Stegostoma tigrinum: one gene and its partners. The protein of the gene in region 1 interacts with the protein of each later gene in a pairwise test. Links are inferred from orthologs where the notes say so. Each region holds a gene or a part of one and is shown in the gene's direction. Other genes may lie near its edges. The genes, in order: DAZ-associated protein 2, rabgef1, rnf208 and plekhb2.

What was found.
Region 2: the proteins of DAZ-associated protein 2 (region 1) and rabgef1 interact in binary tests that used the Homo sapiens proteins (3 or more experiments, as listed by UniProt). The two-hybrid records come from large-scale screens. The link is inferred for Stegostoma tigrinum from reciprocal best matches to the Homo sapiens genes DAZAP2 and RABGEF1.
Region 3: the proteins of DAZ-associated protein 2 (region 1) and rnf208 interact in binary tests that used the Homo sapiens proteins (3 or more experiments, as listed by UniProt). The two-hybrid records come from large-scale screens. The link is inferred for Stegostoma tigrinum from reciprocal best matches to the Homo sapiens genes DAZAP2 and RNF208.
Region 4: the proteins of DAZ-associated protein 2 (region 1) and plekhb2 interact in binary tests that used the Homo sapiens proteins (3 or more experiments, as listed by UniProt). The two-hybrid records come from large-scale screens. The link is inferred for Stegostoma tigrinum from reciprocal best matches to the Homo sapiens genes DAZAP2 and PLEKHB2.

What each region holds. Positions count from the first base shown.
Region 1 is NC_081404.1:5,873,549-5,880,920, reverse strand, and holds the start of DAZ-associated protein 2, read left to right. Parts: upstream 1-4,352; 5' UTR 4,353-4,473; coding exon 4,474-4,486; intron 4,487-7,372. UniProt on the Homo sapiens protein: In unstressed cells, promotes SIAH1-mediated polyubiquitination and degradation of the serine/threonine-protein kinase HIPK2, probably by acting as a loading factor that potentiates complex formation between HIPK2 and ubiquitin ligase SIAH1.
Region 2 is NC_081380.1:23,276,524-23,284,019, reverse strand, and holds the start of rabgef1 (rab5 GDP/GTP exchange factor), read left to right. Parts: upstream 1-4,477; 5' UTR 4,478-4,611; intron 4,612-5,007; 5' UTR 5,008-5,368; intron 5,369-7,496. UniProt on the Homo sapiens protein: Rab effector protein acting as linker between gamma-adaptin, RAB4A or RAB5A. Involved in endocytic membrane fusion and membrane trafficking of recycling endosomes. Stimulates nucleotide exchange on RAB5A. Can act as a ubiquitin ligase.
Region 3 is NC_081382.1:4,060,076-4,067,569, reverse strand, and holds rnf208 (RING finger protein 208), read left to right. Parts: upstream 1-4,484; 5' UTR 4,485-5,410; coding exon 5,411-6,148; 3' UTR 6,149-7,277; downstream 7,278-7,494.
Region 4 is NC_081367.1:13,147,910-13,155,655, forward strand, and holds the start of plekhb2 (pleckstrin homology domain-containing family B member 2), read left to right. Parts: upstream 1-4,746; 5' UTR 4,747-4,951; exon of another isoform or gene 4,952-4,976; intron 4,977-7,746. UniProt on the Homo sapiens protein: Involved in retrograde transport of recycling endosomes.

The sequences.
Region 1 (7,372 bases):
AGTTGATTGAGCAAATGCATAATAGATGCAGGATAACAGGGGTAATTGTGAAGCTAACCACTTTAGTAAGAAAAACAGAGTGATAGGGTATTATTTAAATTGTGATAGATTGGGAAATGTTGACATACAAAGGGGTATACATGTCACTGCAAACTGGCCATTGAAAGCAAGCATGCATGTGCAGCAAGCAGTTAGGAGGTGAGTGGTATGTTGGCCTTTTATTTCAAGAGCCAGGAAGTCTTACTGCAGCTGTACAGGGTCTTGGTGAGACCACAACTAGAGTTTTGAATGCAGTTTTGGTCTTCTTACCTTATAAAAAGGACATACTTGCTACAGAGGAAGTGCAGTGAAGGTCCACCTGACTGATTCCTGGCATAACAGGTTTGTCACATGAGGAGAGATTGTGCCTATATTCTCAGGGGTTCAGAAGAATGAAAGGGGATCTCATTGAAACATAAAATTCTGACAGAAACAGATAGGATGAAGTGATGATATTTCTCCTGGCTAGGAGGTACAGATCAAATGGTTACAGTCTGGGGATGTGGGGTAGTCCATATCAGACTCAGTTGACCAGAAATTTCCTCACTCGGACAGTGATGAACCTGTGGAATTCTTTGCCACAGAAGTTGTAGAGCCCAAGTCGTTGAATACATTTAAGAAAGAATTGGATTTTTTGAGGCCAAAGGCATCAACGGCTATGGGGAAAGAGCAGGAGTATGGCATTGAAGTAGAGAATCAGCCATGACCATGTTGAGTGTATCAGAGATAATGGGAACTGCAGATGCTGGAGAATACCAAGATAATAAAATGTGAGGCTGGATGAACACAGCAGGCCAAGCAGCATCTCAGGAGCACAAAAGCTGACGTTTCGGGCCTAGACCCTTCATCAGAGAGGGGGATGGGGTGAGGGTTCTGGAATAAATAGGGATAGAGGGGGAGGCGGACCGAAGATGGAGAGTAAAGAAGATAGGTGGAGAGAGTATAGGTGGGGAGGTAGGGAGGGGATAGGTCAGTCCAGGGAAGACGGACAGGTCAAGGAGGTGGGATGATGTTAGTAGGTAGCTGGAGGTGTGGCTTGGTGTGGGAGGAAGGGATAGGTGAGAGGAAGAACAGGTTAGGGAGGCAGAGGCAGGTTGGACTGGTTTTGGGATGCAGTGGGTGGGGGGGAAGAGCTGGGCTGGTTGTGTGGTGCAGTGGCGGGAGGGGATGAACTAGGCTGGTTTAGGGATGCAGTAGGGGAAGGGGAGATTTTGAAACTGGTGAAGTCCACATTGATACCATATGGCTGCAGGGTTCCCAGGCGGAATATGAGTTGCTGTTCCTGCAACCTTCGGGTGGCATCATTGTGGCAGTGCAGGAGGCCCAAGATGGACATGTCATCTAGAGAATGGGAGGGGGAGTGGAAATGGTTTGCGACTGGGAGGTGCAGTTTGTTGCGAACTGAGCGGAGTGCATCATCCTCCGACACTTCCGCCATTTACAATCCGACCCCACCACCCAAGACATTTTTCCATCCCCTCCCCTGTCTGCTTTCCGGAGAGACGACTCTCTCCGTGACTCCCTTGTTCGCTCCACACTGCCCTCCTACCCCACCACACCCGGCACCTTCCCCTGCAACCGCAGGAAATGCTACACTTGCCCCCACACCTCCCACCTCACCCCTATCCCAGGCCCCAAGATGACATTCCACATTAAGCAGAGGTTCACCTGCACATCTGCCAATGTGGTATACTGCATCCACTGTACCCGGTGCGGCTACCTCTACATTGGGGAAACCAAGCAGAGGCTTGGGGACCGCTTTGCAGAACACCTCCGCTCAGTTCGCAACAAACAACTGCACTTCCCAGTCGCAAACCATTTCCACTCCCCCTCTCATTCTCTAGATGACATGTCCATCATGGGCCTCGTGCACTGCCACAATGATGCCACCCGAAGGTTGCAGGAACAGCAACTCATATTCCGCCTGGGAACCCTGCAGCCATATGGTATCAATGTGGACTTCACCAGTTTCAAAATCTCCCCTTCCCCTACTGCATCCCTAAACCAGCCTAGTTCATCCCCTCCCCCCACTGCACCACACAACCAGCCCAGCTCTCTTCCCCCCCCCCACACTGCATCCCAAAACCAGTCCAACCTGTCTCTGCCTCCCTAACCGGTTCTTCCTCTCACCCATCCCTTCCTCCCACACCAAGCCGCACCCCCAGCTACCTACTAACCTCATCCCACCTCCTTGACCTGTCCGTCTTCCCTGGACTGACCTATCCCCTCCCTACCTCCCCACCTATACTCTCTCCACCTATCTTCTTTACTCTCCATCTTCGGTCCGCCTCCCCCTCTCTCCCTATTTATTCCAGTACCCTCTTCCCATCCCCCTCTCTGATGAAGGGTCTAGGCCCGAAACGTCAGCTTTTGTGCTCCTGAGATGCTGCTTGGCCTGCTGTGTTCATCCAGCCTCACATTTTATTACCATGTTGAGTGGTTGCAGAGTGTTTTCAGTGGACCAAATGACCTATTGCTGTTCATATTTCCTACGTTTCTATGTCTATCATTTGGAATGACAGTTAGAGAGATGAGTAGAACACTAATTTGAGTTACAGTCCAGTGGGGGGCATGAATATCTAGATTTTGCAGAGAGCCTAACTGACACAGAAGAGTGATACAAGACCCGCAGTGGAGGAGCTTAGCAAAGCTATCAACTCCTTTCCCATTTGCGAAGCTCCAGATGATGATGCTACACTCCCTGAACTTATCCCATGTGGGGATACAAGAGAGATATTTTCCCGAATTTCCACCTATTTCTCCTGTTAGCTGGTGGTTGGATGCCATTTCACAGATGGCAAAACCTCCCTGATTCCCAGCCCAAGTGTGTGTGTTGATTAAATGGTGATAAGCACCTCCATTTCTGTATGAGTACCTCTCTTAACCTCAGAGTATCCCAATATATTTTACAGCCAATGATGTTTTTTTGAAGAGTAGTAACTGTTGTAGGAAATGTGACAAAGAATCGCTGTAAGTAGGAACTCTGTTTGGCAATGAGACAATACATTTTAGTGGTATTGTTTGAAGAACAAATGTTGGCCATTATACCAAGAAAAAACAAGAAAAACTTACTTTCCTTCAAAAGCATCAAGGGATCTTTTATGTCCACTTGTTGAAATTCGCTTATGGGACATGGGTATTGCTGCCTGGCCCAACACTTACTGCCCATCACCATTTGTCCTTGAGAAGGTAGTGGTAAGCTGCCTTCTTGAACCATTGCAGTCTACATGCTGTAGGGAGACCCACAATGTCCTTTAGAGAAGGAATTCCAGGAGTTTGACCCAGCAACAGAGAAGGAACTTTCAAATCATTGAATGGCTTGGAGGAAAACTTGCAGGTGGTGGTGTTCCGATGTATCTGTTGCTCTTGTCCTACTTGTGGAAGTGGGCATGAGTTTGGATGGTGCTGTCTAAGGACCCTTAGTGAATTTCTGCAGCGCATCTTGTAGATAGTATGCACTGACAGTACACACAGGTAATCAAGAGAACTCAGTCCAGAGGACATTGCAGGGTTGACAGAGATTTTGTTGTCTATGCCAGGTAGTCTGTCCAATTTGATTTTTTTTTTGTTCAGACTTTGTCGTGATTGATACAACTGAGTGGCTTCCTATGACATTTCAGAGGACAATTTATAATCAACCACATTGCCGTGGGTCTACAGTCACGTGTAGGCCACACCAGGTGAGGATGGCAGTTTCCTTTGAAGGACATTAGTGAACCAGCTGGGGCTTTTCCCAACAGATGACAATGGTTTCATGGACACCAGTAGATCCTTAATTCCAGCTTTTTAAAAAAATTGAATTCAAATTCGACTGTCTACCACGGTGGGATTCAAACCCACAACATTAGCGGAGTTTCTGGATTAATAGTCTGGCGATAATAGGTCATTTCCTGCCCTCATGAGAATGAGAAGACTTAGTTTCACATCTCATCTGAAAGGCAGCTAAGGCTAAACAGTAACGGTCAATAACTGATAAACTATTAGACTGTGATTGGCATTACTCTCTCCTGCTATCTATTCACGTTTGCTTTCTTACAGAACCACAACACAAGTTGCTGGAAAAGCTCAGCAGGTCTGGCAGCATCTGTGTAGGGAAATCAGAGTTAACGTTTTGGGTCGAGTGACCCTTCCTCGAAACTAGTTTTTATTGCCATGATCAGAACCACAACCTTCGTCTAATTTCCCCTTCGATCAGTCTAACTTGAATAAAACAATCGATGGCCTGAATGAACTGTTCAAAGATCTTTCCTTTTAATTGTGCCCGTGTTAAATAGAATGATAGAACAAATGCAATTTCCCTTTAAGAGTCTTGGTGCGTTTCCAGGGAGTGATGGGCGGTGCTGCCACAGAATCAGAACAAGGAAGTGAGTCGCTTGAACGAAATCAGTCGGAGCTTGGAGAAACCGAGAATCGATAGCGCACGCTGCATTCAGTATGAGTAAAAAAGGTAAGTCTGGGCTTTTGTCCGGATTAAAACCAGGGAAGCTTTGGTGGTTTGCACCTTGCGAAGCCCAGCCTAAGTGCGGCTCTTGGACAGTGGTGAGTGTGGTCGCCCAATCAAATTAGGACCATTGGCTCGACTTCAGTCTCGATTGTCTCCTGGCCAAATATCCTTGATCGAAGTAAGAGGCCAGCCCTGATTTACACAAACACTGCGAATTATTTTCAATTTATTTTTGAAACTACTAACAGCTGACAGGAATGTTAGTACATGTTTTTTTTCAAACCCTCTGAGGGAAATTCGTGTGTTTTCCCCTCCTGCCCGTTGTAGACCTATTTTCCAATACCTCCCTCTGTTGCGAGGATTAGGCCCTTACAGCTATGCTAATGTAATGTCCTCACGCACACAGTTGTTACTGGAGACGTGGTCATGACGTTGGGAGCCTTACCTTTTCTTCCGCTCTGAACTCTGCGTAGATTTTGAGCAAACAATGAACTACGCCACCGGTGGCAATGTAGATGCTCGCTGGGGTGGACAGATTCAAAGTTTGGTGATGTATCAAAGTCATTGTAGCATTTGATCGGTGTCAAAACTTGGCGCAATGTTCCATTTAAGCACCTTGTGACTCACATCAAAACACTGACAAATACAAGTTGTTGAGTGATAATGGGATCTTAATAAAATATCAGATTGACGAGCCGGTTTTGCTCAGCGCATCTTGCACTGACTCGAAATGTCTCCACACCTTAAACTGGTTTAAAATAGGCTAATTAATGTCATAAAATTTGTTGTTTGTGATAATGAGATTTCAGTGCCTGGTATTCTTAAGTAGTGCGTGTCCCTTGTGGATAGCCAGCTCCGCCTGCTGCTGATGTTTTTCTGAAAAACAATTCTGTTATCTAAAACGAGTATAAAATAGAAGCATTTGTCGCTATAATGTGATTTATGATCCCCTAAATCTGTAAGTGAAGTCTTGACTACTGTCACTTCATTCCACTAGAGAGTTTTTCCATGTTGAAATTGAGAAGTTTCTGGATAATGTCCCTGAGATGAATTTCTTCGGTCCGCCTCCCCCTCTCTCCCTATTTATTCCAGTTCCCTCCCCCCATCCCCCTCTCTGATGAAGGGTCTAGGCCCGAAACGTCAGCTTTTGTGCTCCTGAGATGCTGCTTGGCCTGCTGTGTTCATCCAGCCTCACATTTTATTATCTTGGAATCTCCAACATCTGCAGTTCCCATTATCTATGAATTTCATGTTGCTACCACAATTCTGCTGTGCTGGATTCCATGTCTGTCCTGGATTCCTCAAGCAATTGTTTCATGTTTAAGATTATTAAACCTTGGTACGTGAACTTTGGCATTTATTTCCCCATCTTCAATTGCTTTTTAGGAACAAGAACAGGAGTAGGTCATTCAGTTCACTGAGCCTGCCCAATCATGCAATGCACTCAAACATTTTAATGCCTTTTTACCCACTTTATCCCCAGAAATCTATCAATCTCTGCCTTTTAAACATATTTGAAGATTGAGCTTCCCATTGGTAGAGAATTCCAAGGATTCACAACCCTCTGAATAATAAAATTTCTCCACGTCTCAGACCTAAGTGTTATCCCCATTATTTTTAATCTGTGCCCCCTGGTTTCAGACCTGGTTCTGTTATTTAATATGATAGTGGCTGATTGAACACTTCAATGCCTTTTTACCTCCAATATCTCCATAACCCATTATGCCACTGGTAAACACAAATCTATCAAACCTCGAATTTAAATATGCTTGAAGACTGAGCTTCCACAGCCCGCTGGGATAGAAAATTTCAACAATTCACAACTCTCTGAGCAAACTATATTCTTCTAATTGGTCCGAAATGGCATCCCCTTAGTTTTTAAGTTGTTCCCTCTGTTTCTAGATTCACCCACCTGGTGAAATATCTTGCCTTCACCTACCCAGTCTATTCCTTTTAAGTATTTTGTAAGTTTCAATCAGGTAACCCCTTTGTCTTTGAAACTTTAGAAAATGCAGGCCTGGTTCACCCAATCTCTCTTCAAATGACAGTCCTGCCATCACAGGAACAAGTCTAGTGAACCTTCATTGCACTCCCTGTATGGCATTAATATCCTTCCTGAGATGAGACCAAACCTTCACACACGCGGTGCAGTCGAACCAAACACTATTTAAGCAAGATTTCACTACTTCTGTATTACAGATCTTCTTGCGATGAAGTCTAACATTCTCCATTAGGCTTCCTAATAGCTTACTGAACTTTTGTTATATTTTAGTGACTTCTTGATAAGGAAACATTGTCACTTTGTATACTTTACACTCTTGCCATTGAAGAAATAATCTACATTTCCTACCAAGGTGGATAATCTTCACATTTTTTCCATATTTTATTCCACTTTTGCCCATTCAGAAAAGTTGTGGTAATACACACTTCAGTCTTGACTGGACACCATCCATGACAAAGCAATGTCTTGAATGTTGTTGGAGCTGATTAATAGTAATGCCAATGAACATCAAAGGGGATGATTAGATTCTCTCTTGTTGGAGGTGACCATCCTCTGATGTTTGAGACAACAATATTTTTCCCCCTGAGTTCCTTAGCTTCCATGCTAAATACTGATGCAAAATAATAGTTTAGGATCTCTCCTATCTCCTGTGATTTCACACGCAAAAGACCTCGTTGATCTTAAAGGGGTCCTATTACCTCCTAGTTACCCTTTTTCGCCCTTGATATACTTGTAGGATCTCTTTGAATTTTCCTTAATCTTATCTGCCAAAGCTATCTCCTTTCCCCTTTTTGCCCTCCTGATTTCCACCTTAGATGTACTCCTACAACCACTATACTCCTCAAGGGGTTCACTTGATCCCAGTTATCTATACGTGACACATGCTT
Region 2 (7,496 bases), on another chromosome or scaffold:
TTTTAGAACTGTAAAAGGGAAACTGTTTACACAAATGTACGAATTAGCCATGAGATTAGGTCATTCCTCCCCTTATGCCTTTTCCACCATTTATTAAGACCATGACTGACCTGACTGTGAGAATTTGGGTGAACTGGTTATGCAGCTAGTTTGTGGTTTACATAGGTAAAGTGTCAGAAATGGGTGTGTGATATTGGAGGGACTAAATTGTGAAAACCATGTGGGTGTGAGGTCACAAGGGTTTAAAAAAAAGCCATATTTGAGAAATGTATCAAATTCTTAGACATTATCTTCTGGAACACTTGATTCAGAAATTGTTGTCTTGAATTCAAAATCTGCCAAAATGGAAGGATAAGGTAGGTAAACTAAGAGCTGAGGGTTTTGTTAATTTAGTATTAATTATGGGGAATTACTAGATTCTGTTATTAGGGTCTCTATGATTTAGGATTTGTATAATTATGAATCGATCAGAACAAGCTAGACAAGTTCATTACATCGAACAAACTGATTTGAATTGTTTGAATAGAAAACTGACATGCTAGATATGGGAGTCTCTATGAATGCTATGGCTCAGATTCTTAAGGAGCTTAACAGGATAAATGCTGAAAGGACGTTTCCTCTCTTGGGAGAGTCCAGGACCAGAAGGCATGTCTCAGAATAAAGGGGCGCAAATTTAAGACCGAGATGAAGAGAAATTCCTTCTCTCAGAGGGCTGAGAGTCTTTGGAACTATTTGCCACAGAGAGCTGTGTGAGAAAAATCCTTGTGTGTATTTAAGTCTGAGATGGATTGATTGTTGATCAGTAGCGGAATCAAGGATACAGGGAAAGGGCAGGAAAGTTGTTGTGAGGAATGTCAGATCAGCCATGATTCTATTGTATGGTGGAGTAGGCTCAAGAGGCCAAATGGACTACTCCTATGCCTATTTCTTATGGTCTTATGATTAGTTGTATGGATTTTCAGAAGGCATTCAAAAAAGTTCCACAAAAGAGACTTTCACCAAAAGCCTGGCAATAGAGTGTAGAGCTGGATAAGGTCTAGGCCTGAAACGTCACCATTCCTGCTCCTCTGATGGTGCTTAGCCTGCTGCGTTCATCCAGCTCTACACTTTGTTATCTCAGCATCTGGCAACAAAAAGTTTGGATAAAGAATTGGTTAGGTGTTAGGAGATCAAAAATAAGGATAACAGATATATAATTACAATAGACCCGGTGTCTATCAATGATTTATTCTGGGCCTCAGTTTTTTACTGTATCTATAATTAACTGAGATTAAGAAATAGAGAGAAATGCATATCTAAGTTTACTCACAGCATCTAAGTTATGTGGCACAGTAAACAGATTGGAATGAAAAGTTTGTCTGGGATATCAATAATCTGTAGAGAAAACTGTGGCAGAGGAGTTCAATGTGGCAAACTACATACTTTTTACCCTTGAAAGATAGATCAAAACATTTTCTGAATGGCCAGAAACTGTGGATAAGCAGAGAGAATTTGGAGTTAAGTAAAGAAATTTTAAAAACTTAGTGCAAGTACAAAATCAAATCAATGATATGTTGGTGTTTAACTTGAGAGCTGGAATACAAAGGATGAATTTTATGCATGGGTGTACAAAGCTCTTGTGTGCAGTAGTCAATTCCAGGCACTGCATTTCAAGAAAAATATATTGGCCTTTGTAATGGTGCACTGTAGTTTCACCCAAATAATACCAGGACTAAAGGAGCTAAATTCTAAGCAAAGGTTGCATAAAATTGAACACTCTATGGAATCATCTAATCGAAGTTTTAAGATGTTTTCAGGATTTAATCAAGTAGATAGTACATATTTTGTTGGAAACTTCACTGATATTTTTCATTGTTTTTATTTTTATATCAATTTTGACTTGGAGCTGTGAGCTAGGAATTGAGAGTTGAACAACTCGTGGACTTTGGGATAGCTTATGATAAAGGGAAAAGAACAGATCAAATAAGCTTTTTTGAGATATCAGGCCTAGAGATTAAAACGTTTGATCAAAAGGGCTCTAACAGACACAGCAATCCCAGAAAGAGCACCATGTTTAAACAGATAGCAGAAGTTGTCTATTCATGGAGTCAGTACCTGGGAATTGGTTTCAGCAAGTCAGGGAGAGACACTGTGTTTAAGCAGATGACAGATGTTGAGTGGTAATTGAAGCCTTAGGAAAAGACATTCAATCCATTAGGGTGGAAACAGAGTTGGAGTTGTGTTTTAACTGTCTTATTTGGAGTAGAAGAGGTTGGCTGCTGACAACACAGCTGAAGATTTGAAAGCTAAGAGATCTGATCTCTCACACTAAGCTTCAGAAGCCCAGACAGTAGAAATTTGAGTTAGAAATATTATTAACCTTACCTGAGTAACTGAGAAGGTTCCCAAAAAAGCAACCAAACAGTCAACATCAATGCAGTGAAAAATGCATTGTGAAAACCATTTAAGTAATCTGACTAGTTTTATTACTTTTTTTATTTATCCCTTAACTGTATTTGTTTCTCTATCTTTTTTTTGTCTGAATGGGGCTGAAAACAAATGGTTCAGGTTTAAAGCATAGGCATGAATTAGACATTAACAGAAATCTATCAATATTTGTTTTGATTCTTTCAACTGACCTAGCTTCAGCAGCATTTCATTGGGGCAGGTGACAGGGGGAGGAAAGAAAGTCCCAGATTTCCACTAGTATTTACATTAAAAATGATTTTTTGATGTCACCCCTGAATTGCGCAGATTTTTCATATCTGGACTCTTCCAAAGGAAGTTGTTATGGAGGAAACAGACAGCCAAGCCAAACAGGCTTTCTACCTTTACATTTGCAATGCAGTAAAATTAAACAGTCAGAGTGTTACAATTCAAGATGGTGGTGTCACACAGTAGATAGCATTCAGACTCCTGAACGTGCCTGCTCCAGACAGGCTGCATCCTTCTCTTGTTTGCCTTTTTTGTCTTTTTCTTTTTTTTTCTTCATCTTCTGACTTCATGGGGAAGCTGGATCAGGGTGTCAGCTGTGTTGCCTGGGGCAAGGAATCATGGCTGCGGTAGGTGTGGCACATGGTCTTGGCAAGTAGTCGGCTGTGGCAGTGACAGTGCCTGGAGTGGGGAGTCCCAGCTGTGGTAGACCTGGAGCGTGGACTTGGCGGGGCATTGGTTGTGGCAGTGACCAGAGCGAGGACTCCTCGCTGTGGTAGGCCCAGAACATGACCTTGGTAGAGTCGGTGAAGGTGCCTGGACCGGCTCTCCCACTGCTATTTGCCTGAAGCATAGTCTCTTGGTAGGATCATCATTGCTGGTCTCGGAGCAAGGGCTCCTTGAGGCCCAGAACACCTTGCAGAAATCCTGGAGCTGTATTTGAAAACCCCCTTTACAAGGGATAAACTCTGCTTGTGTAATTTCTTTTAATTCTTTTTGTAACTCAAAGTGGTGCTGGATTGTGGTGACAAAACGCTTTTCACTTTATCTTTCTAGATATATATGACAATAACCAATTATCACTCAAATCAAGTATGGCCAACATATTTGATGCGCTGAAACGTAGGAATATGCACCAGAAAAACGGTCAAAAGTCGTTTTGTTCAGTGTACCAATCCCCCACAGCTTTGCGTACTCAAACATCACAGGTAGACATCCGACACAGAGAACGATGGATCGGAAACTATACAGTTAACAGGTTGAGATATCCTACCAAATCAGAGGGGCCAAAACGTCGTGGGATCGAAGGGTGCTCTCTGAAATGAGAGGGTCAAATTCCCTAATCATGAGCCCCATTCGTTGGGAGCCTTGACGGGTGGATAAAAACAAAAGGATGCGTGTCCGCAGATGTTTTCGTTTGGATGAATGGACAGGTAATCCGTCTTGATGTGAACCGGTGCAGTGGAGCTCGGAGTTATGCAATATTCACTTAACTGCTGGCCACGCAATAGAAGCAGTCTAGTACAAAGGAGTGCTGTGGATGCCAATACCGAGAAAGATGAGGACTTTCAGCAATGCCCCACGGACGATCAGAGTTCAGCTTCCAGTCCGGCAACTTTAATACGGCAGGGTCGGGCCATCCTCCCAGGTCCGAGGAAGGGTCACCGAACCCGAAACGTTAACTCTGATTGTTTTTCTCCACAGATGCTGCCAGACCTGCTGAGCTTTTGATTAGATTCCCTACAGTGTGGAAACAGGCCCTTCGGCCCAGCAACTTTTCTTTTTAAACTTTGATGGAAAAAGTTTACCAGGACAGAGATAGTAAGAACTGCCGATGCTGGAGTCAGCGATAAGAGTGTGGGGCTGGAGGAACACAGCAGGCCAGACAGCATCAGTGGAGCGGGAAAGCTGACGTATCGGATCGGGAACATTCAGATTTTCTTCAGATCCGAAACGTTAGCTTTCCTGATCAACTGATGCTGCCTGGCCTGGTCTGTTCCTCCAGCTCCACTAGGTGTTTCCAGGACAGTGACGTCAGCGCCGCTGCGTGTCGCTGCGCGGCTCTGTGCGCGATGACGCAATGACGCCTCCCTCTGAGGTATCGCGCGCCTTAGCGGTTGGTTAAGTGAGCGAAGAAAATTCCGGTGGGAGCTGGGGGTGTAGGAAGAGACGGAGAGTGTGGCTCGGACAGTGATACAGGTGAGGCCCTGGGTTTGGGTCCGCTTTCTGACAGTCTGAAATGAAATGAAATGATTGATTATGGCTTTGCGTTGTTACGCCGATCTTCACAGCCCGGGATGCGGCCGTGTCGATTGAGCCGGGGAGCGGCAGTTGGGAATCAGCCGCTGGCTAACCGGCATCTCCCTGCTGCACGGCAGGGCAGGGCCGGGCCATCCATCCTCCCTCCTTCCCAGCCATTGATGGCTGCAGGGAAAGGCTAGGCACAGAGCCGTGGTGTGGATGTGGAGAATTAGTACACAAACACCGGGTGATCTGCCCCAGAGAGAGAGAGAGATGGGAAGAAAGGTTTGAGAAGAGTCAATGCCATCTGTATTTAAATGTATTAATTTATTCCTGTGTTGATCATGTTGATAGTGTTCCTTCTCTCAGCAAGTCATGCGTTCAAGTCACACTCCTAGAGACTCGAGGACGTAAATAAACACAGACGGGCACTCCAGTATCGGATGGGCCAATTAAACTAGAAAGCAAAACAAAATTAAAAACTATATGCTCAGCAGATCAAGAAGTAGGCGTTTCGATCGAGATTGTAAGATGCTGCTTGGCCTGCTGTGTTCATCCAGCTCCACAACTTGTTATCTCGATCGAGATTGTCTTTGACCAGAACTGAAGCCTGTTTTTAATCTTCTTGGAATCGGGATCCACAGCACGATTTGGACAAGACTTCGCCCTCTGCCCCTTGCTAAAACTTGGTGTCCAGCTCCAAGCTTAATAACAGGTGGATTGCATGCCCTATTTATCTAAATCAATCCGGCCGCCGACGCGTTTTTACTGTACTGGGCCCTTATCAGATGTCACTAGAGAATTTGGCCCACTCGTTTTAGAGACCTCAAACCCATGCGAATTGGGACATTAACTCACCAGAACAAGTTGTTTGTGCTCAAAGTGGCTGCTGCATTTCCCTTAATTTCAGCTGCTAACGCTTCAAAAAAAATAGACTGTGAAGTAATTTACATCCCCTGGAGACTCGAAAGGAAGGCACTTTTTTATACTTCCGCTAGAGATGAAAATAATGTGCAGAATTAACCAGCGTGGAGCTGGACGAACACAGCAGGCCAGGCAGCATCAGAGGAGCAAGAAAGTTGACATTTCGGGACGGGACCTTTCTTCAGCATTTCAGAATGCTGAAGAAGGGTCCCTATCCGAAACATCAACTTTCCTGCTCCTCTGCCTGGCCTACTGTGTTTTCTCTTACTCCAGCATCTGCAGTTTTTAACTACATGTCAGAATTAATCATTCTGTTTCTTCATCAGTTGCATCCTGCTTCAGTAGTTTGTGGAGTATTTTGAGGTATCTCTGCAAAGTGTTGTAGAACCCTGTCTAGCTAGTCTTTGTCTCTGGGGCGAGAGTCAGTAGGTGGGTTACTTGTCGCAGAATTCCTAATGTTTAACATACTCTTGTAGCCATTTATTTGTATGACTGGTCCAGTTTATTTTCTGATCGGTGGTACTCCACCAGCTGTTTAAATCCGGGGATTTGGTGATAGTAATACAATTGAACCTCAAGGGCTTGTGGTTAGATTAATCAAGGTAATGAAAAAGTTACAGCTCAGATTTAGACTGAAGACAAAAGTAATTTGGACAGCAATTTCTGGTGCCTGTATATGTACAGTTAAAAACTGGTAATCAGTTACAATCTAAAATTGTCTCCCCTGATCGTGTCACTATACGGGAATGCCACTGAGAAATTTGACATTGAAATAAATGGAAGGTCATGGAGTTTCAATGCTTGTGAGATCTGACACCACTAATCCTGCAAAGACAAGTGCTGCCAGTCCAATGCAGTGCAACAACTTTTAAACAGCAGTTTGTTAATTACTGCACAACAGACTCCTGTAACACTGAAAATTGGCTTTTATTTTCATCTAATTTTCATTGTATTTGCAGATCTAATTAGAAATAATTTAAATACTCACTTGTTTCAAAGAAACATTTCCCTCTTATTTCTCTAACATCTGTCTTTCCTTCCTTCATTTTGCTTCCTGCACCTAACTTCGTATTTAGTTAACTATTTTAGTTTCCTGGTTAAGATTCTGTTTGACTTCTTAATCATTACAGAATGTAATGGTTTTGGTGAGACTTGTTATTTATATAAATGATTCAGATGTGAACATAGGAGATATGGTTAGTAAGTTTGCAGATGTCACAAAAATTGGAGGTGTATTGGACAGCAATGATGATTAGCTTTGTTTACAACAGAATCTTGAACAGTTGGGGCAATGGGCCAAGGAATGGCAGATGAAGTTTGATTTAGATATATGTGGTGCTGCATTTTGGAAAGTCAAATCAGGGCAGGACTTATACACTTAATGGTAAGTTCCCAGAGAGTGTTGTTGAACAAAGAGACATTGGAGTGCAGGTTCATAGTTCCTTGGAAGTGGAGTCACAGGTAGCTAAGACAGTGAAAAAAGTGTTTGGTATGCTTGCCTTTGTTGGTCAGTACATTGAGTACTACATTTGGGAGGTCATGTTGCCCTAGACATTGGTTTGGCCACTTTTGGAATATTGTTTGCAATTCTGGTTTTCCTCCTTTTAGAAAGGATTTCTGAATCTAGAAAAGGTTCAGAAAAGATTTAAGAGGATGTTGCCATGGTTGGACGATTTGAGCTATAGGCAGAGGCTGAACAGACTGGGCCTGTTTTCCCTGGAGTGTTGAAGGCTAAGAGGTGACATTACAGACGTTATAAAATCATGAGGGACATAGCTAGGGTAAATAGGCAAGGTTTTTTTCTCTGGGTTGGGGGAGTCCAAAACAAGAGGTCTTAGGTTTATGGTGAGAGGGGAAAGACATGAAAGGGACCTGGGGCAACTTTTTCATGCAGAGGGTGGTGCGTGTATGGAATGAGC
Region 3 (7,494 bases), on another chromosome or scaffold:
ACTCTTCATTTAATAAATTACTGGAGTTTACCTTTTCTATGACAATATGACCAAATCATCTGATGAAGGGAATGGACTTTGGCAAGGGTATGCCTCCTGACAGCGAAAGGCCTGATTTACCAAGCCTCTAACAGCAGCCACAAGTTTTACAGTTCAAACCATCGATCAACTAGAAGCTGTGAGGCACGGGATAGATCTATGGTAAATATCTCTGGAACCACCCTATGCTCCAAAGTGAACATTGTAAAAACAAATGTAACATTTTGCTAAGGTGACTAGTGGTTCCCCACCATATGGACTACCATCAAACTGGTGTGTTCACCAACTACTCAATCAATGTTTGATTTGAAGAAGGCAAGGTTTTTGAGAGCAGGATCTGTGAAACTAAGATCGAGGATCATCAGCCAAGGGATGAAATGAACTGGAAAGATCTATGAAACTTCCAAACTGCTCATACTTTGTCTCCGCAATGTGCTGCTCTATCGTATTAAATCTCCTAGGTGGATATATCTGACCTGTTCCTCCTGAGATGCTGAATGATTGATTAGTGTGTGTGCCATTTGGCCCAGTGTCACCATATGCTGGCTTCTTTGGACACTACTGCTGTAAGAGAAGAGAGAAAGGTGTTTCTGCTTGTGGCTCACTTACACTTGAAAGAAGCTATGTGTAGATCTATATATACAGCTGTTTAATTATGTGTATGGAACTGTTCCTCTGTAGTAAAAAAAAACATGCCCATGTATTGTACCTATTTTGAATTAAATAACAGCATGAGGAGCAATCATGCATTCTCCACTAAATCACTTCAACCAACCAAAGTTGACTTGCCAGGGAATCAGTACCTTTTCACATGCAGTGTACTGTGTTGTTCCCTATGAAATTTGGTCTTCTTACACCTGTCCTGATGAGTGAAAGATGAAAAGCTTGAACAGTTTGTTTTCAACAATAGACATTTGTTCTTATGAAAGATCGTCATATCCAGCTTCCAATAGCTTTGATGACAATGAGCAAATGAGAGAGCAGGTGAGAAGGAAGAGTGGGAGACACACAGTTAGCAAAAATGCTGAAATATTTCTCTATTTCTTCAGTGGTCAAACAAAAGATAACATTAACATTATTGTTTATAATAAAGCAAAGTATTAGCATGTAGACCAGTGAGTGAGATAGTACAATATCGTGCAGCAACACCAGATGAAATCATTTATTTGGCTTGAATGCAAGTCTGGTGATGCAAAGTGTGATGATGTATCATTCAAGGCAAACATGAAAACTAGTTTCAGATAACATGAAGTAAAGGTGATTCAAATTATCCTAAATGATGAATGCATTGATGTAATGGAAGGTAACAGCTCCATACTTTAATTCAGATGGTGATTTCCTACATTTCATCAAGGAAAGCAGCGTGTTACTCATTGATGCTGGGAGCTACTTTCTATTATCGCTCTTCAGCAGTTTCTTGGGGCTCCTGTGACACCACAACCCAATATAAATGCTCCACCTCTGCTTCTTTCCTTCTGCAGTCCCACAAGAGAAACCTGGCATTCTGTGCCTTGCTGATCATTGCTGGTAGATGCATTTCTAAACAGAGGCCTTTGCCTGTTAAACACAATGACAGTCTTTTTCAGCTGCTGTTCTCCAGAACTCGCAATATTGCACAAAATCCCATTCGAGGTATGCTTCATTATGAGAGCACATTCCCACGTACACCAACCCGAGGATATGGAACGACTGCTCAAATCATAATTACATCAGGAGGGGAGGGCTAAGTATACCACTGGGTGGGTGATCTTCTTACTAAAATTGGAATGGAAAATGTGCAAAATCCTACCAGAGAGACCTCTTGTGTCTGCGGTTTTCTGGACAATACAAGAACAACGTATATCTTTTTATATGTTTCTCTGTCACTGTGGTTGTTCTGGAGGCGGAACATGAAGACCAAAGGTCAACTGAATCATACGGTGTGGTTGTGTTGGAGCAGCAGTGACTTCACATTGTCTAACTTCCAATCACTAGACAAGTTTCCTTCTTGGGTCTGGACGGAAACAAGAGGTTGTGCTTTATTGCTGTAAGTGAGCTTACTAGTTAGGTAAATACTTCTGACTTTATAATCTTTAAATATTGCAAGTTTGCATACAGCTTTCCCTGTCCTTATTGTAGCTCTGACTCTGTTTACTGGAGACACTATTGATTATTCCTACTGACTGCCCTTCATCAATGATGAGAAGTGAAGTCCTGACCCAGATACTGGGTGTTTTAACTCTTTGTTTTTTGCTACTTGAGCAGGTGGCTTGTACCTATTGGATGTTGTATGTCACATCTGTGAACAGGACTGACATGCAGTCTGATCCAAACTCTGAGCTGGGTGCATGTTCCTGCATGTAAAGCATTGCAATGGTGGTTTCTAGTACACCCCACGATCCAGCATGGTCATAAGACTAGAAGAAGCAGAAGTACACCATTCAGCACATCAAGTTTGCTCCACCATTTAATGAAGCCTTGGCCAATCTGATAATCCTCAAGTGCTCCACTTTCCTTCCTTTTCCACATAAATCTAATTCTCGTACTGATTAAGAATCTGTCTACCTTAGCCTTGAATACACTTAATGACCCAGTCCCTCCAGCCCTCTGCCATAATGAATTCCAGAGATTCAATTTCCCCTGAGAGGAGAAACTCCTCCTCATTTCTGTTTTAAGCAGATGATGTCCTCTGGTCCTAAACTTTCCTGAAAAGGGACACAACCTCTCTCATCTACCCTTTCAAATCTCCTAAGAATCTTTTCTGTTTCAATCAGGTCACCTCTCATTCTCCTGAATTCCAATGAGAATAGGCCCAACCTTCTCAACATCCTCTCATAAGACAGTCCCCCCAAATCCAATATCAGCCAAGGGAAACTTCTCTGGACTACCTCCCATGCCAGAATATTTTTCCTTAGATAAGAGGCCCAAAACTATTCACAGAATTCCAACTCTGGTCAGACTAGTGCCTTGTATCATTTTAGCAAGACCACCCTACTTTTACACTCAATTCCCTTTAAAATAAAGGCCAACATCCCAATTGCCTTCCCTATTACCTGCTGAACGTGGATGCCAGCTTTGTGAGTTCCCTCTGGCAGTGGGAGAAATACCCATCGTCAACTCCTGCAGTGCCAGCAGCACAAGGAGTCAATAGTGGGCATTGCTGGGCATGTGAACATTCCCAGGATAGAAGCCAGTGGGATCTCAGACCAACATAAGTTGAGAGCACTGAGTGGAGAGGTTTCAAGCATCTTAGGAAGCGGGGCAAGAGGGTAAAGGATGTAGGTTTCAATTCCAGATGGAGAGGTGGGAAGGGTGAGGATCATCTTCTGACGCGGGTGCCCTGATGTAAAAACGACACCCTCCATTAATTGTACCACTTTTACTTCCAGTTCTTTTGAAAGCTTTATTTTTTTAAAAAATCAAGCAGCCTATCTGCCAATGTCAACCATTTTACAACAAGGGCAACATAATATTGAGGCCTAAGTAGTTATTAATTATTTACCCACAGTGAAGACCATTGAATAAGTATGCGCCCAGTTTCAACCTCACCTGCAGCCTGGTATCATGAGGGCACTTCAAGGATCATTGGGAAGGTGGTGTGCTGCCTAATCTATTTTGTAGGCCACATCCCCCACCAAAAGCACAGCCAGCCTTGAGTTAGAAACTCCAAACCATATGCAAGGTTCCAAGCTCAGAGTGTCCACATACATTTAATTTACAAGCCTTAACAGCAGGGGATAGCCAATGCTTTTAGCCCATTAATCCAGGGAAGAGTCCAAATGCTCTTTGGTGTTCAGGGAATCTTTTCATTGTCTCGATATGTCCCAGATGTTGTTCCTTACGTTGTTCTCATTGGGTCAGAATTTATTCTTTTCTCTCATTGAGTTATTCCATGTCTTTGTAAAGTACTGTTTGCATTAAGTTCTGTCCTAAACTGTTCTGAGGACTCAGTGTACTTTAACACAGTGTAGAACACCCTTTCCTCTCATCAACCGACTGTCAGCTTGCAATCAGCAGGGTTTTAAAACTCAAGCTTAGTATCTGTCTCTGACAACTTCAAGATTTATCTTGCCTTCTCTGCCAATCTGTTTGATCTGTGTCATTTTCTGAATTGTAAACAGTCAATCCTTAAACTAAAGTTTCTTAATGAACTGAAAACATTCACTTTAACTTTCTTTGGAAGCACCTCATGGAATTAAACATTTTGTTGGGTCCCCTTTGTCTTGAAAATTCAAATGCCATTGTCACAAACTTTTAATAAATGTCACTGTATTGAGACATTTTGAGAGTGAAAACAGGTCAAACAGACTTCAAAAGGGACTAAAAACAAATATTATTTCCTTTTCGTCATTGCCCATTATCAAACTGCAGATAGTCAGAGGTGTCAGAAGACAGCAGTCAACATTGAACACAGAGGGAGAATGGAGGGGTTAAGTGTGTGAACTATCTAGAGGTGACCTCGCTGACTAGGAGGGTGTGAAGTAGTCAGGGGAATAGCTGCCTTCTCTTGCAGTAACAGCACTAAGCCACTGTGACTCAGGAAGGAAATGGCAACAGCATCATCCTCTGCTTTCTCAGCATCGATTGCAACACGGCGCAAACCCTTTGAAGGTTAGGCAGATGAATGAAAAATACAAGCAGCTAGACGTTGGTTTCAGTTGCAAAGGTAGCCTGAGTTGAGGTACTGCGGCCTGTAGCCCCTACACTGCTGAATGAGAGAAATGTGAGCTCGCTGCAGTACTGCAGTGCTGCTGCAGACAATACTGCCATCGAAGGTAAACAGAGGGCTCCAAGAGACAGACCGAGAGAGGAGAGAGAGAGAGAGAGAGCAAGCTGCAGAGCAGCCACTGCCCTTACTGTCAATACAGAGACAGACACTGTGCAGCTAGCTAGAAGGAGGACTGCTCAATTGAAAACTGGAACCACCAGATTTACTACAAGTGCAGGTAACGTGATTCAAGCAAGCATCTTCATATAATTCACTATTGCTAAGCTGAGAGCTTCTGTGTCGTTGACTCAGTTCTGTCATAAAGCTTTCTTCTGGGATATGTTTGCAGTGTTCGCCTGCTCATTTTGCAGCATTCACTGCCGTTAAGAGATTGAGCATCCAAAAGAGGAAGAGAAGTCAGGACATACAGTTATAAAAACTGACACCTTAGCTTCATTGTATAAAGAGCAGCGTGTTTGAAACTGATGTGGACTGTGCAAACGATTCAGGATGATTCTTACAGATTGTGTTGCAGCCTGAATTGACTGTATGGATAGTGAAGACTCCTGGTGCAAAGAGAGAAACCTGCAAAGGTGCAGAGATGGTCAGACAGGGAAGGGAGTGCAGGCCCTACCTGTGAAGCAAGCTGCCTAATCGCAGCTGGGACTCTCAGACCCCTAGCCCATGGCGTGCCTGAAACAGCAGCAGGCTGCCATCAAGATGGAGGCAGTGAAGATTGTGCCAGTGGAGAAGTTTGCGGAGTGCTCAAGCTCACAGGGCCGGTACGGGCCCTCACAGTGCGTACGTGAGCCACCGCTTGTGGGAAAGTGTGCCTGGCCCCTAGAATCCGAGATCATCGCAAACCAGGCCTGCGCTGACGTCCCCACCCTGGAGAAAGCCCGGAGCCCTAGCGGGCTGGCCCGGACACCACCCCGCCGTGAAAAATTTGTCCAGGGCCATCGCAAGGCTAGTGCCGAACTGTGTTACCACCGGCAGACCCCATCAGATGAGGTCATCGTTAATCAGTACGTTCTTCACCAGTCAACCACTTCTGAACCCCTGGAATGCCCCACCTGTGGCCACGTGTACAATGCCACCAACAAACGTCCACGGATCCTCTCCTGTCTACACTCGGTGTGCGAGGAGTGCCTGCAGATCCTCTACGAGTCCTGCCCCAAGTACAAGTTCATCTCGTGCCCTACTTGCCGCCGGGAGACCGTCCTCTTCACCGACTATGGCCTGGCAGCTCTGGCAATCAACACCAGCATCCTGGCCCGGCTGCCAGCTGAAGGCCTCACTGCCAACCCGGGCCAATGGGGCAGTGAGGCTGACCGCAGCTGCTACCAGACCTTCCAGCAGTATTGCGGGGCAGCCTGCAGCTGCCAGCTCCGAAACCCATTGTCTTCCTGTGTCATCATGTAGAGGAAGAGAGAGAGAAGGCCCTTCCCCATGTCACAGAGTAACATTTGTGACCAAAATAAGGATTACTGCTCCAAGACTGAACAACTTGCTGTTCTTTCTCAGCAACCTATATGGTAAATTATCTATAACTGCATTATCTCATCTGGGAGTTTCTGTGTTTTCTGTGAAATCAAAGGTATCAAATTCAGGTTGAGTGGCAAGTATTATGCAGTCTTGATAGTTTTGCCTGAGAGGCAGTGTTGCCAAGCAACCTGCACATTCTTGACTACGACCTCGGAATTGCTTCTTTCTCCACCCCAGTATTATACGACGCCTAAAACCATTGCCAAAGCAGCAAGTGTTTTAAAGTGTTGCCCTCTCTAGGTTGGTAAAGCTTAATGTGTTCTAGATGCACACCACACTATCCAGCAGCCTATCGAGACCCTCATTCTTGGCCCTGCCCAGTGCCCTCAATCTTTCACCAGAACACAGTGTCTGGCGAGAGCATTTCTTTAACCTGAAGTTTCGATTTTGATGGTTGGATAATTAGAGAAGGGTTTAGCTGCACTTATTTTTAATTGCAAACATCCTCACCTAAGCCACAGCCCTGCCCCAAACCTCCATGACATCAGAGGCATGTTAGTAGCTTTTGTGTGGTGTCAACCCAGCCAAAATCAGCACCGGGAGTGCTCGAACTGGGCCAGCTGCCTCAGCACTGTACAACCTCCCCCGAACCCCACCTCTAACCTCCCACCCTACACCCTCCATCCTCTGACCTCCCACCTCCAAGCCACTGTGGTTCTGGAGGAAGCTGGGCTGAAAAGGGTCACGACCATAGGTTTCCACATCGACCTGTCAGTCACAGTAAACATTTAACAAAGGCTGCTCTCACCTGTGTGTCTGAGTGCATTGGTTTTGCTTTTGCTCCTTGCCCCACCCACAATCCTAGTCTTGGGTCCCAAGAAGCCATTCACACCTTTAACACAACAGATGGAGAAATACTCATCTTTGGCTCCAAATTAGGTGTATAGAGCACCTACGGCCAAAGCTAACAGTCAGTGCTGGAGAGCTCACCGAGAGCAGTGCTAGGAACACAAAGAATGTTTCTTTATTGATTGTATTCTGTGAATAAACTCTATATTAGACCTTCCATTTGTCTTTGTGCTACTACAATAATTAATGAATGAAGTAGGTAAGCATTAGTGCATCTCCCAGCAAAGGGTTAAATTCAGAGCAATGACTGGTGAACATTGGTGCAAAGACTAACACTACAACATAATGGGGTGCCTCTGAGTGGGTTCCTCACTCCATCTTCTCCCCTCACTTCACACTACATATATAAATACTCATATCAAATTTTATTATCA
Region 4 (7,746 bases), on another chromosome or scaffold:
AGGAGAAGGCTAAGAGAAAACTGTTATATCTCAGGACCACAGTTAGTAAATATGGATTGTATGAAAGGAATGATCCAGTTAAGTTTTGCAATGGAAATAGAGTAGATCAAGTGTAAGTTACCTACAGAAGGCATCACGGAAACACAAGATGCTGCATGGCAGGAGGAAGTACAATACAAACACAACAGCAGTCTCGAAAGATTGTGACTGACTTTATTAAAACAAGATATAACAGTATGGAATTACATAATAGGAGCATTTAAAATTATAAAAGGCCAGGACAGTAAAATCAGATTTATTGTCTCAGGTTTCTCCATTGCTGGAGAAGAACCACGCCTGATCTGCCATTTCCTGGTGTCCGGATAACACGCTTCCAGCAGGGGTCGCTCAATTAAGGTTACAAGTGAAAGGGGTGCTGCTCAAGCAGGCAGTTTTATCCTGGATGGAGTCTTGAACCTGCACCCATCCTGTCAAGTGGAGATTATCCCATTTCATTCCTGATTGCTAACTTATTGATGGTGGACAAGTTAAATGGAATCAAGAAATGAGATAGTAGGAATTGCAGAGGTTGGAGAATGTGAGATAATAGGGTGTAGAGCTGGATGAACACAGCAGGCCAAGCAGCATTAGAGGAGCAGGAAGGCTAACGTTTTGGATCGAGACCCTTTAAGAAAACGTTAGCCTTCCTGCTCCTCTGATGCTGCTTGGCCTGGTGTGTTCATCCGGCTCTATACCTTGTTATATCAAGAAATGAGCTGTTTGCTTCTTAATTGCCAGCTTCTGACCTGCACTTGTAGCTACAATATTTACATGGCTGGTCCAGTTTAGTTTTTGGTCAATAATAATGCCTGGGGTGCTGATAGTGGGGTATTAAGCGATGGTATTACCATCGAATGTCAAACTGTTTCCCAACACAAAACAGATGGACAAGTATAAATCTCCCAATCGTTTCCACCAAAGCATGTTGACAGTTTTCTGTTGCCTACTATGTGTTTCCAGCCTGAAACAGAGTGCAGATTGCAACTGTAACTTGCACCACATCATTGTCACTTTGAGATCTGAACAAAGTTTCAAGTGAAAACACTACTTGCAGCAAAGTTCTGGCTTTCTTTTCACCAAGAGATATATACATGCATATCTGCAGTGTGGCCACTTCGCTAAAACTGAATGTGCACTTTGAACTCCTAACATTTCACCGTTGTTCTAAGCTAACAGGACAAGATCATTCATAACTGAAGGGAGTAAATCCTCACACAGGAAACACCAGAAATTTTCAGCTCTGGATTCTAGCCAAGATATCTAAGCAGTTCAATATATGGAAGGAGAAGGGCATTCGATTCCTGGGATGTTAGCGCAGGTTCTAGGGAAGGGAGAACCTGCACAGGCTGGATGAGTTGCAACTCAACAATGCTGGCACCAATGTCCTTATAAGCAGGTTTTCTATTTGTTTAGGTGGTTGCGAAGCAGGAAAAGCATGAACATAAAGGTCAGAAGAGACAGATGGCACCAGAATTAGGAACTGTAAGGTATTAGGTGATTTTAAAGTAAGAATGATGCAAAAAGTCTATTTTAGATTTGCAATGCATGTATGTTAGAACACACAGCATGATAAATAAGATTCATAAAATGCAATCACAGACAGCCAATTGGGATTATAATTCCATTGTGATAGTGCGGATTGAATTAAAAAGAAAAGGGGGCTGAATTGGGTGCTAAATATTTCTGAACACAATGTTTTCTGCAAACATATGGAAGGAAAACAAAAGGTCACTTGGCAAGTTTTGATTAGGAAGAATAATACAGTGCTGGATATTTCCTTGAGTTGTAAAGGACAAAATCTGAGGTTACAGCTAATCATTGCATATCATTGCATTACTGCTGTATTCTGTGGGCCATCAACTCTGAGAAAGGGAGGGACACATTTGTAAGGAAATCATAGATAGGTACAAAACAAGAGTTGTAATGGCAAGCTTCAATTATCAAAATAAATATGATGGAAATAAGGTAATGGGCAGAAAAGAAGAGGGGAGAAGAGTTTCTGAAGTGCATTCAGAATAAAAGTTGGAAAAGAACCAAATGAAATTTGTCACCTCGCAATCACATCTCTCTAATAGCTACCATATAGTCATTCATTTTGATTTATGCCATTAATTGATCTAGTTATGAACGTTGTGTGCATTCAAAGAACTTTAATTTTGTCTTAATATAAAAGGTAGGAGTATAAGTAGGCCACTCAGCCCTTTGAGCCTGCTCAGCTATTCAGTATGATCATGACTGATTATCCAGTTCAGTTCCCTGTTCCCCATACTCCTTTCATGCAAGGAACCACATCTAAGTTCTTCTTGAAAATATTCAATGTTTTGGTCTCTACTGCTTTCTGTGACAGACAATTCAACATGCTCACCACTCTCAGGATAAAGAGATTTCTTCAAATTTCAGTCCTGAATAGTCTCCCCTGTATCTTTAGACTCTGTCCCCAGTTCTGGACTTGGGTCCTTGGAAGTATCCTTCCTTCATTTAATGTCTTGTCCTGTTGGAATATTATATGTTTCTATGACATCCCTCCTCCATCTTCAAAACACCAGTGAATCTAGTCCTAACTGATTCAGCCTCTCATCTTAGATAACAAGGTGTAGAGCTGGATGAACACAGCAGGCCAAGCAGCATCAGAGGAGCTGGAAAGCTGACATTTTGGCTCTGGACCCTTCTGGATCCTATCTCTCAGCCTCTCTTCTTATCATTTTTCCTTACTCTGACATCATTTAGTGGTCCATTCTTATGTTTGCACACTCTCTTTCTGCCACATTCCAGTTAAAATTAACATCCGACCTGATTTAATCCATCTCAGTAAAATTCAGTTGAAGGTCACCATAACAGTACAGCTCTCTATTTTCCCAGTAATGTTACCAGTCCTCCATGAAACCCCTATCTCCCATCTAAACTTTAAGCCATGCATTTAACTCTGATCCCACATCAGGAGTGTGTTAGAATAATCTCCACTTGCCCGGATGAATGCAGCTTCAACAACACTCTAGAAGTTTGACACCATCTAGATCAAAGCAGCCCACTTGATTGGCCCCCCCTGTTCGCCCTTCAGCATTCACATCCTTCACTGCCGACACACAGTGGCAGCAGTCTGACCATACTACAAGAAGCACTGCAGTAATTCACTAATGCTCCTTTGACAACATCTTTTAAACCTGTGACCACTGCTACTTAGGATAGGGCTGTAGGTACAAGGGAGTAACACCTGCAGGCTCCCGTCCAGGTCACATACCATTCTGACTGGAACACTGACACCGGGTCAAAATAAAAACTGAAAGAATTGCGAATGTTGAAAATCAGGATCAAAAGCAGAAGTTCCTGGAAAAACTCAGCAGGTTTGACAGCATCTGTGAAGAAAAAAAATCAGAGTTAACATTTCGGGTCCGGTGACCCTTCTGACCTGCTGAGCTTTTCCAGCAACTTCTGTTTTTGTTCCTTCACAGATGCTGCCAGAACTGCTGAGCTTTTCTAGCAATTGGGTCAAAATATCCTGGAGCTTCTTTCCTAACTGTGTACCGACCAAAAGGATTGCAGTTAAGAAAGCAGCTGAGCCTCACCTTCCCCGGACAATGTGGGATACGCAATAAATAATTGCTTATTTGGTGATGCCCACATCCCGTGAATGAATGAAAACAAAACAAAAACCCATATGCCATTTCGCACTGATAGTTAATCGATTCTGGGCCTTTTTAAGTTTAGCTCATTGCTGATCATCTGGCATGGAAGCTGTCACCAGAGGTGTCTTGGGCTACAGATTGGAAGGTGTTGTCTTTTCTAGTCTACTGCAATTTTGAGAGGTTTCTCTCTGGGCTTCTGACTGGGGCTTTTTGCCAGGTTTCCACTATTTGTTGTGAATTTTAAAAACTTAAAATATTCACAAACTTAGTTCATTTTAGTGATAACCATCAGTAGGTCCAGCAGGATGTTTGCTGTTAGTTCATGGAGTTGGAAGGGCACTTGTCAATTGGGCATAGGACTGAATGTCGGTGGTATGGAGGATTTCCCGTATTCATAGTGATGCTTTACTTGGAACCACAAAGATCTGTAGGCTGAATTGTATTGAATATGGGCTGCACAAAAAGGCATTCAGCTCGAGTGGTCTACCTAATGTTTATTTTTTTTTCTCGACCGAATCGACAATCGTGATCCCCTATACCCCCTCCTCCCAACACCCCCTGAAGTGCGAATGTTAGAAATCAGAACAAAAACAGAAATTGCTAGAGAAACTCAGCAGGTGTGGCAGCATCTGCGGAGAGAACGCAATGACCCTTGTATAGAACACAGCCTAACTCTGTTTTCTCTCCACAGATGCTGCCACACCTGCTGAGTTTCGCCAGAAACTTACGTTATTGTTTCTGATTTCCAACAGCCTCAGTTCTTTGGGCCCCTGCTACCCATTCCGCCACCCTCAAACTCGTAGCTGGCTAACTTTATAAACAGAGTAAATAGAGAAGGGCCAACTTCAGCTGATTTGATGAAGATCTCAGGGAGGTTTCCCTTCGGGAGAAACGTCAAATAAGATGTAAACACCTGCTGGAGGACACATCCAAAGAAGACAGCCCTTTATCATTCGTGCCAATAGCGCTGGAACGCGTTGGGGCTGGGTGGATTCACAAGGAAGTCAAAGCAGGAAGAAGTGACCCCACCCAAAACGTCAACTTCCCGGCTCCTATGATGCTGCGTTATCTCTGACTCTAACCTCTGCAATTCTTCCTATTTCAAAGCCGGGAGTCTTTCCTTCGGCAGTCTGCGATGCTGGATGGGAAATGTAGTCTCCGTCCTCGGCAGAAAACGGGGAACGGGTTTGAATGGACTATAACTCCCAGAGGCGACCGTGGCAAGGAGGGCGGAGAATAGGTGGATCGCCTGAGGACGCACTTGTCTTGTGACAAATTGAGGTGACGGGGTGAGTGGAGCTGCTAGGGCTGAGGGTGAGTAGCGGTTGCAGGTGGTAATGGGGTTCTACGAGAGTCTTTGTTCCAGTTTGGAACGTTGAACTGTTGCACGGTAGTCTTTGGATTCTAATTTGGAACGTTAAACTCTTACATGGCGTTCCAAGGAGTGTCTCTGGATTTCTGTTTCAGATGGTCGCGGCTGTCGAGGGCCGGGTTCATAGCGTGGTCACTTGGCAAAGGATTTGACTGTTTCTGTCTGCTGGGTGCGATGTTTCCAGTGTATTTCTTAAACCTAACCCCAGCCCAATAAATACACTAATGTTGCGCATCAGCAGCAGTAGGAAGCAGAAAGAGGGAGACAGGATTTGGGTTCATGTATATCTTCGTCCAGCCCACACGTAAACCAGGAGAACTGTTTATTTTTGCTGCTTAAACTACTGACTGATCCCTTTCGGATTTATCCTACTTTCTGACTGACCCTTCTTTCCCACCCCTCCCCTTTTGAAATATAAAACTGTCATGGACTTAACAGGTCTTTTATTATGATATGAGAAGGAGTAGGCGTCTGTTTGTTTTAGTGTGTGATCGTCGTCATCTGTGACAGTATCATATGACTACTTAATCATTCCTCCACCCTCTCTAGTAAACAAAAGCACATCATGTAACTTGTGGAATTAATAGTATGTTTGAAATTGACACACATTGTGAACCAATAATCGTTCATGATAGAGTGCTACTTAAACCATTTCACAGTTTCCCCAGAACAAAATTGTGAATTTATTATTTATTAGTGTTTTACAATGTTTATGCTATGTGTTATTGTTTATCATTGAAATAACTTGCACCTTTGCAGAGTGCTTAATTGAATTAAGTCCGTGGAGGATGAAATGCTTTAAGTCTGGGCCACGTGGTACCACTGAGTCACTTTCCAATCCACTGTAGTTCAGACAGTCAAAGCTCGTCATCTGTCCTTTTAGGCTTAATGTCACTGAATCAGTTGTTATTTTGTTCGTTCATCCAGCTGCTAGTGCTTAGCTCCTCAGCTAATTCAGAATTCCCATAAAAAGTTTGAGATTTCTTGACATGATTTATTTAAGGGTGTTGCGCATCAGCATTAAATTGGGGCAGGTTTACTTGAACAAAATCTAGAAGTTGCTGGAAAAGCTCAGCCAAGTCTGGTAGCATCTATGAAGAAAAATCAGTTAATGTTTTGGGTCCGGTGACCCTTCTGATTTTATTACTGACTTACAGCATCTGCTCCTCTTTTGGTTTAGATTTACTTGCTGTTGGGTTAACGTTAATTCCAAATGCTTTGTGGTGAAGATGTATATTTTAAAACCTAAATATGTCTCAAGGCTAGAAATTAGTGCTTGCAAATTGAATATGAAGTCTTGGGTTTGTACTAGATTTGGGTATACACTACCAAAGTCCAAACTGGAGAGATTTTGAGAACACGGTGCTTGTGTGATATTGAGGAAGTCCTGCACTATAACCCTGCTTGCTTATACAAACTTTAAAGTAACAGCCAACTCGGTTGAATGTAAATCATTCCTGTGCAATTTTCAAAGAAAAGCAAGGGCTAATACTTTTTTTGGACCTACCCAAAAAGTGCTTCAAATCGTGTCAGTGATTTTGGGCAACAGTAGGGAATATTCAAAATGCTGGTAACAGCTCACTTTCCCAATTGATGAATAATGGGATGTGTGCAGTGTTGAAGAAATGGCCAGGGTCCCCATTTGACTGGTATAATGGTGAATAGGCAACTCCAACCCCCGAGTTTTGGATGATGCAGCTATTTGATCCATTTCTAGAATGTGGGAGGATAACCAAAATGCATTTGTGGCCATAACCTTCAAATTGTGGAAATTATCATAGCAGCCTGCCCTCTAAGAATTACATTGAGAGGCATTTCTATTCATTACTATTTCATTGGTAGGCCATTGAATGAATGTCCAAATCGGAGATCGTGTTAAAATTTCTCCCTGTCAGCACAAAGTGGTAGCATCACTTGGCCAAATATGCTATAGCGTGCTCTGTGCTGATTTAATGTATTTGTGGAGCCTGGTGTACAATTTGGCTGATAATTTTCATCAGTTACAGCAATGATCATGTAACTGACTCTAAAGTACATTTGGTTATCCTGAAGCTGTACGAGTTACTTTCTTCTAAGAAAAATCTATGGATTTGAGGAGAAGCTGAAGGTCCTGAAGCCCTGCAGTAGAACAGATTTTGGTAAGGGGAATCTTATCAGATTTTAAAACTTGAAGTATTTTCATAGGGTAAAGTTTTGTTGGAAAAGCAAGCACTTATTGACCATCCCAATTGCCCTTGTAGTGGTGACCGGCCTTGAACTGCTGTAGTCCTTCAATTGTACTGTTAGGAAGGCAGTTCCAGGATTTGATGGGATAGTATATGACATGGTAGGAAACATTGGAGATGCTGTTCCCATCTGCTGCCCTCGTCCTTCGAGGAGATCTGTGTGTATGGTTTGGAAGGTGCTGTTGATGGAGGCTTTAACTTGTGGATGGTACACGTTGCCACAGCTGTGGTGCAGTGGTAGAGGGTGTTGACATTTTATGTGCATTTGGCTTGAATGGTGCTGAGCTTCTTGAGTGTTGTTAGCACTTTGCATGTCTGGGGAGATGGAAAATATTACAATCACACTCCAGACCTGTGGTTTCTGAATGGTGGGCAGGATTTGGGGAGGTGCTAGGTCTCTGCAGAATTCCAGTTGTCGGTGAAATCCACGTCTTTGACTTGTGTAGCTACAGCACTTATGTAGCTGCTGGAGATCAATAATTGTTTA